Linked DNA regions of Callithrix jacchus. The main gene of each other region encodes a partner of the protein of the gene in region 2 in a complex. Links are inferred from orthologs where the notes say so. Each region holds a gene or a part of one and is shown on either strand. Other genes may lie near its edges.

Region 1 (4,116 bases), on a different chromosome or scaffold from region 2:
CAACAATAAAATGAAATGTAAGTGCTGCTATGTATAATGATAAGGATGAAACTTGAGGACATTATGCTAAGTGAAAAAAGCCAATCTCAAAGGGACATACACTGTATGATTATATAAAATGTCCAGAATAGACAAATTAAAAAAAATAGATGAGGAGTTGCCTAGGATTGAAGTGGGCGTTATGGCTAAGGGGTACAAGGTTTCTTTTTGGGGTGATGAAAGGTTCTAAAATTAGGTTGTGGTGGTGGTTTAACAAATGTGAATATACTAAAAACTACTGAACTGTACACCTTAAATAAGTGAATTGTATCTAAATAAAGAAAAAGGGAGGGTGGAAGGGAAGGAGGGAGGGAGGAAGGAAGGAAGGAGAGTTGTAAAAGGCAGAAGTATTTTGTGTCTAAGAAGGCTGTATCTGAGAAACTAGTCCTGACTGAAAAACCAGCTGATGGGGCAATTCACATACCACTAAGTAGTCGTGATGATGACCAAGCAGCTCCCCAATCCAGATGTAGGGCAGCATTCCTTGGCATGACCACCATCCCCACCAGCAGACTTCCTACTCAAGTGGCTCCCAGCCATCTGCCAGGTTTCTGCTCTGAGCTGCCTGAGACCTATCAGCCCTGTCCCAACTCAATCACCGCTTCCACTGGTTCACGATTCTCCTTCTGACAGGAGCTCAGAAGTGACACCCAAATGACAGAAGGGAGCAGTAGTTGCTGCAGTTGTCAAAGCAGACTCCCCTTTGACACCTGGCTACCCTGCCAATTATCCCCTACTACATGAGAAACCATCAAACTCAACAATGGGGACAAATCCAACACCATCCCAAACATGACCCACCCTGGGTTCTCACCTCCAGAATTCTGATTAGGTGCAAAACAAACCGAAATGATGTTCACATTTTAAGAAAACAAGAAGAGGATCACCACATTAGGCATATAGTTATGAAGACAAAAATATTTCAACCACAATAGTTTTTCCATTATAATAAAGATTGTGGTTCATGTTAGAACTTTACAGACCAAAGATAAAATTAACATGATGATGCTGTTTCAAGTAAGCAGAGAAAACTATTTACTCCCACACAGCAGTATGAGAATGAAAGAGTGATGCCTGCTCTGCAGATAGCAGAAAGAAAAGGCACCCTCATTGTCTTTTGAATGGGATACCTACTCTTCAGAAGTAAAACTAAGATTTAGAGTTTTAACCCGTCAAAAGGCAAGCTTGAGGAACAGATACACTGTACATTTCACCCTCACACCCGGGGGGCAGTATTTCAGCTGGCAAAAAGTGTCAGGCCTGAGAGGAGTGAGGTGTGGGAAAGGCCCACACAGGTGAAGCTGTACTTCCAAGGCTGATCAGGAACTGGCAGCAGGTATTCAGGAATCCAGGTCAAATGCAGGGAGGCTGCTGGACATGAACTAAAACTGGGTGAGTTAGATTTCCCAGTACATGGGTCTCAGACACTGGGAGGAAGCCCTGTGCCTGTGTAGAGAAAAGTTAAGAACAGCAAACAGGGTCCCCTGGAACCAGGATCGAGCAAGACGAAGATATGGGGTGGGGAATCTGGACAGATGCCAGGAAGATTAGAAGACTGCAAGTGGTCCCAGAGCAGGGGCAGGAGGCTGGGAGGTGGAGCAGCTGGAAGGGGCTGGGTGCCTGGAGCATGAAGAGAGGGAAGCAGCGAGTGGAACAGGGGACCCAGGAGGCAAGATCCCAGCAGACTGTGAGCAGCACTCAGGGAGTGAGTGTCTGGTCTTGAGGTGGGGCCAGGGCCTGACCAATCAGTGGTGCGTTTGGTGTTCCCCCGTCTGAGGGGTCTGATGAAGCCCTCCTAAGGAGATCTCAGGAAGAGGAAGCCCCCAGGGTCTGCGGATTCCTGGGACTGAGGAAGAGGCGGGAGGGCAGGACTCAGTTCTGAATCTGACATGGGCCCAGACACGGGGAGTGTCCAGAGTCTGGTGAAACCAATGGAGAGTTCTTCAGGGTCTGAAAAGGGCTCGTGGCAGTCCCTGATGTAGGGACGGCAGGTCATGAGGAGGGAGGACCCGGGCCTTCCCCGAGTCATGGGGGCTTCCGGATCCCGGACCGGCCGGTCACCGGCTTCAAGTCTGGGAGAGTGTTCGGGGTCCGCCAGAAGCGGGTCTTGACGGGCTCTGGATCTGAGGGGGCAGGTCAGGGCTGGGGCTCGGAGAGTGTGAGGCACAGGCTGGGCAGGTCCCGGGTGGGAAGCGCCGGGTGCAGGAGGCCCCGGCGACGAGGGCCTGCTCCGCGGCTGCCGGCTCGAGGAGCCGAGACGGGCACGGCCCGTGAGCGCCGCGAGGAGGCCCTCGGGCCCCGGCCCGGCCCGGCGCTCACCTGCAGCACCACCTCTACGTCGTACGAGTTCCCCTTGCTCTTCTGGTGGCCGCGGAACTTGGAGCCGCTGTAGAGCAGGCTGGTGGCCACGCCGGGCTGCTGGGTGTTGATGGGCGGCGGCGGGATGAGTGAGGCCGCGGAGGCAGCCGAGGCACCGGCTGGCGGGGGACACTCGGTGCGGACCGGCATCGCGGGGTCCCCCGGAGCCAGGGCTGGGGGGAGTGGGAGAGGAACCGCCGCCGCCGCGCGGGAGCCAAGGAGGGTGGCTGGGAGGGAGAGGCCGAGGCGCGCACGCGCAGGGTGGGGGCGGGAGGGGCGACCACCCGTCCGCTGTATGCAAACTAAGCGCTTCGGCCGCCACCGCGACCCAGGGACCTGAGAGCAGGGCCTCCCAGTCCTGAGCTGGGTCCCCCTCCCGACTTGCCCTCGCGCACACATACACACACACAGACACACACACACACACACAGACACACACACACACGCACGCGCGCGCACGCACAAACACACACCCCGCCCCTTCCGATTGGCTCGGGCGAGCCGGTGAGGGCGGGAACAGGTTTACACGGCGCTTCCACCCATTGGCGGGAGGAGAAAGCACGTGGTGGGGTGCGCGAGCGGCCCGCTGGGACTTGTGGTCTTCTCGCTGAGGCGCGGCGTGGAGGGGGCGGAGCGAGGCGCGTTTGTGATGCTAATTGACTGGGGGTGTGCGCAGGAGGCGTGCGGCGGCGACGGCACGCCGTTGGTGTCATGTGGAAGATGGCGGCATCCAGGGGAGGCTGCGGGCTCTGAGGGGGCGGTGAGAGGTTTCCGTACAGCCCGATCGTGCGGCTTTGGAGGTCCCTTCGCTCCGTTTCCTGCTCTAGGTTTCACGCTGCGCATCCTCCCAGACTATCGGGCGCGATGTGGAGGAGCTGTCACCGGCTGCGGGACGGGGGACGCCGCCTCCTGAATCGGCCTGCGGGTGGCCCCAGCGCTTCTAAGAGTCCGGGGCTAACCATCCTGTCTCCAGCCCGGGCTTACGCCCCGCCGACAGGTGAGGCCATGAAGGGCCGAGCTGGGGGTAAGGTGGAATTCGGACTTCTGCTGTGCAGGGCGGTGTGACTGAGGCAGGGTTCAGGCTCATGAGGTTATGCAGGCCAGTCGGGTCCTTTTACAGACGAGAAAGAGAAGCCCAAACAAAGGCAGACGACCCGAGGGGGAACAGCGCGTCCTGCACGAGACATTAATTGATATTTGGCCTGGGCAGCTTTTCTCAAAGCTTATGGCTGCCCTCTCTTTAATGAGGAAAGCAAGTGTCATCTTTGTTTTCCAAAGGGGAGGTTTGGGCCCTGAATCAGAACTTCGCCTAGGTTACAGAGCAGACTCGGGTTTCTGGAGTCTGACTGCTTTCTATGTCTCCACTGCCCAACATAAGACCTGCACAGAAGGGCCAAGTTCAATCAGTCCTCCATCCCGGGCACTTTAGCTGCAGGTTTCCTGACTTTCCATCCTGTGCAACCCCTGCCATCTGCAGCCTTCTCTCTCTCCTAAATAGAAATTGACACCTCCATCTCTGATTTTGGAATCACCTCCACCTCCAACTCTGATGAAGCTTAGAAGTTGTGGCTCTTTTGTTGCTGATAGTGAGTGGTGTTAGGGTGAGAGGGCAAATGACTCATTTCAGTGAAGGAAGAGCAGTAACACCCTCCCGCCACCATTCAATTACTTTTATTGTGCTGGGGGCAGGAGGCGCAGTAGTCTTTAAGACCCACCTGT
Region 2 (3,647 bases):
TAAGAAAAGCAAATGAATTAACCTAGCCTAGATGACCTATCATTTTATTTCCTCCATCCAATTAATTCAGACAGAAATACAATTCTATATGTGTCATCAATTGTTTTTAATTTGTTTAGTGGAGTAAATTACTTTTTGTTGAGAGAATAAAATCAGTAACATTGTAGAGATATTAGTATATAAACTGATTAAAAAGTTTCCATGAATACCAAAAGAATAAATGTCTTATAAAAAATATATTCTGAATAATGTCAATTCAAATTTCTTCACTCTTACTTTTGTATCATGGTCTGCCATTCTCCTTCTCGATCTCCGATAGGAAATCGGTCTATCTGTGCCTGGATTTTGGTTCTCCACTCTCGCATATAGTCTTCTATATCAAACACGAAAGGATGTTGACCAAAATTGGCATCAACCACTTCTCCTGGTGTCTGAAGCCCCACAGTAGGATACAAATTTGGCTGTAAGATAACATATTTCATTAAACAGCTATCCATTTTATGTTAGATTTAATATTATTTTAATGTTATCTTTAAAAGAGCAGAACTATAAATTTACTTTATATTTTAAAATCCCAGTCAAAATATTAGAAGGCTAAAACAAATGATCTAAAATACATTGTATGTTAGATGAAAAAATATCACTTCCTGCAATTTAATCATCAAGAAAAAACATAGCAACCCAAGATCTCTATTTTACTGATTCAGGGACAACGTTGTATTATAACATGTGGCACTATGCTACTAATATATAGAGATGTAATTCTTGTTCTAAAGATTATGTCATATAGTAGTTATAGAAATTCAAATATAAACATATAACTCAGGTTTACCCCAGATTTTATATGATACATTTCTATAAATTGCATGTTAAAGCTAGTTACCATAAAAGTACAATCTCAGCTAGTCTGGCATGTAATAGCTTAAATTTACTATTTTCATTCTGCACATTTGGGATGCCTAACTTTACAAAGGGAAGGGGATAAGACCTTAACTACAAGCAAAACACAGTGCCATGAAGAGTGGGGATTCTCTATATTAAATTAGAAAAAACAAAACTCAAGTGTACATATTTCAAGGGAGGAAAAGGATTAATTTAAATACCTAAACTCAGAAATGCATTCACGTACACTCCAGGATTTCAAGGTTACTCAAGATGAAAAGGTGGTAACCTCAAGTATACAAAAAAATAGAGGAGTCATTCTTTTGGCTGTGTCACTAATTGGTTGTTACATCTAAAGGGAGAATGAGTTTCCAAGTGTCTACTAAATGCCAGGGTTTAATCATAATAGTTCTGTGAGGTCACTCTTATTATTTCTACTACAAAGATAGAGAAAATGAGGATTCAAGGTTAAATAACTTGCTCATGGTCATTCTGCTAACAAGTGACAGAAATGGAGTTGACACACAAGTTTGTCTATACCACATCCATGACGGATTTTTTCCTCTTGTAACTCCAAATCCTACCATATTTTTGTTTTCTGTATTTATGTCTTATATCTTTGATTTAATAGTTATAATAAGTATTTTCAGTACAAAACAAGGTAAAGATCAAGAGTGGATAATTTCGGTGTGAATAAAGATGTTAAATAGTTTTCACAATAAAATGCTAAAGAGGATATGTTTTAAAACAACTATTTGATCAAGCAGAACAAATAAGAAACAAAATAAATATTGCGGCCAAACATCAACAAAGTACTACTGAATTATGGAAATAAATGGTTAAAGCAAAGTATGCAAATGTAGATTCTTAATAATCAACAGAGCTAAAGGTTTACAGACTTACAAACCTAACAGGTTTATAGACTTTTAAGCTAAAAACAGGTGAGACAGTACAGCGTTCCCATTTCGCCAATGAGAAAATGGAGACCTAAAGACTTTATAGAAACAGGCCAGGTGTGGTGGTTCATGCCTATAATCCCAGCACCATGGGAGGCTGAGGTGGGTGGATCACCTGAGGTCAGGAGTATAAGACCAGCCTGAACAAGATGGGGAAACCTTGTCTGTACTAAAAATACAAAAATTAGTGAGGTGTGGTGGCATGCACCTGTAATCCCAGCTGCTTGGGAGGCTGAGGCAGAAGAATCACTTGAATTCAGGAGGCAGAAGTTGCAGTAAGCCAACATCACACTATTGTACTCCAGCCTGGGCAACAACAGCGAGACTTCAACTCAAAAAAAGAAAAAAATAGGTCAGGCGCGGTGGCTCACGCCTGTAATCCCAGCACTTTGAGAGGCTGAGGCGGGCGGATCACAAGGCGAAGTGATCGAGACATCCTGGCCAACATGGTAAAACTCCCCCCATTTCTACTAAAAATACAAAAATTAGCTGGATGTGGTGTCGGACGCCTGTAATCCCAGCCACTTGGGACGCTAATGCAGGAGAATTGCTTGAACCCAGAAGGTGGAAGTTGTAGTGGGCTGAGATGATGCCATTGCACTCCAGCTTGGGTGACAGAGTGAGACTCCATCTCAAAAAAAAAAAAAAAAACAAGAAAACAAGAAAAGGATTTTACAGAAACAATTTAAAAGCACACGGCTTGCTAATGGCAGCACTTGAAAAAAAAAGAACCTCACATTTCTCTACTTCTAGCATAGTATTCTTTGCCTTAAAACCCACTAGAGTTATGAGATACTTTAAAACAAAAGCATATAAGCCAAAAACAATAAAGAAATCAACAGAGTGAAAGGCAATTTTATCATTAAGCAAAGTTTACAATTATGATATTCAGTATTGTCTAAATAAAGACACTTTCAAAATGATTTGCTCATCTAAATTGTCTAACAAATTTAGAAAAATAATTCTGTCAACACTATCAAAGACAATCAACATTCATGAATTATCTGATAAAACTTTCATAAAAATTTAAAATTCCCTATGACAAAACATGCCACAAATGGCAAAGACAAATGACTTTCTAGAAAAAAAAAATGTACCATGCATATGGCAAAATGTGTATTCCAAATATAGAAAACATTCTCACACTTCAGGAGGACAAAGACTACCAGTTCAAATTCTTAAAAATGGCAATGAATATGTAGACAATTTGTAGAAGAAATAAAAATGACAACATATAGACACGCTTAATTGCATTCAAGTCTTTAGATGCAGATTTTTTAATGTGTACTTAAAATAAAATCAATTAAATTTAAAATGCAAGATTAAAAACTTTTTTGAACATCAGATTAACACTTGGAAGGCTGAGAATAACCAATGTTGATAAGGGTTGGGAAAATAACCTCATCTATTGCACACAGAAATGTAAAGTGACATAATCTTTTAATAAAGAAATGTGGAAAAATCTATTAAAATCGACAGTAATTTCACTTGAGTTTATTCAAAGCAAGCATGTGCAAAGACATATCTTGTAGCATTATTTGTAATGCAAACAAAATTTTAAAATATCCACAGATAGGTGACATTATACCACATTCATCAAATCTCAGATTCTAATAACAACAAATATCACTGTTTTATGTGTAGGAAAACACAACGCAAATTAAACTCTAACCAGCCACTGATTCTAAAGTGTATTTTCTTTTCCTTCTTCTTCTTCTTCTTTTTTTTTTTTTCAGATGGAGTCTTTCTCTGTTGCCCAGGCTGGAGTGCAACAGCCTGATCTCTGCTCATCACAACCTATACCTCTTG

Evidence for each region.
Region 1: the proteins of RANBP9 (region 2) and GID4 are in contact, whole or in part, in a cryo-EM structure (PDB 7NSC), measured with the Homo sapiens proteins. The link is inferred for Callithrix jacchus from reciprocal best matches to the Homo sapiens genes RANBP9 and GID4. Residues at the interface, in NP_005484.2 of Homo sapiens: Ser223, Lys224, Gly225, Arg226, Asp227, Gly228, Tyr229, Met230, Gly256, Asp257, Thr274, Phe275, Thr276, Thr277; in NP_076957.3 of Homo sapiens: Leu187, Arg189, Asp194, Glu195, Asn216, Asp218.

What each region holds. Positions count from the first base shown.
Region 1 is NC_133506.1:69,115,119-69,119,234, forward strand, and holds the start of GID4 (glucose-induced degradation protein 4 homolog), read right to left. Parts: upstream 2,869-4,116; 5' UTR 2,797-2,868; coding exon 2,359-2,796; intron 1-2,358. Other genes in the region: ATPAF2 (ATP synthase mitochondrial F1 complex assembly factor 2), read left to right, coding at 3,262-3,394.
Region 2 is NC_133505.1:17,020,721-17,024,367, reverse strand, and holds part of RANBP9 (ran-binding protein 9), read right to left. Parts: intron 462-3,647; coding exon 277-461; intron 1-276. UniProt on the Homo sapiens protein: May act as scaffolding protein, and as adapter protein to couple membrane receptors to intracellular signaling pathways. Acts as a mediator of cell spreading and actin cytoskeleton rearrangement.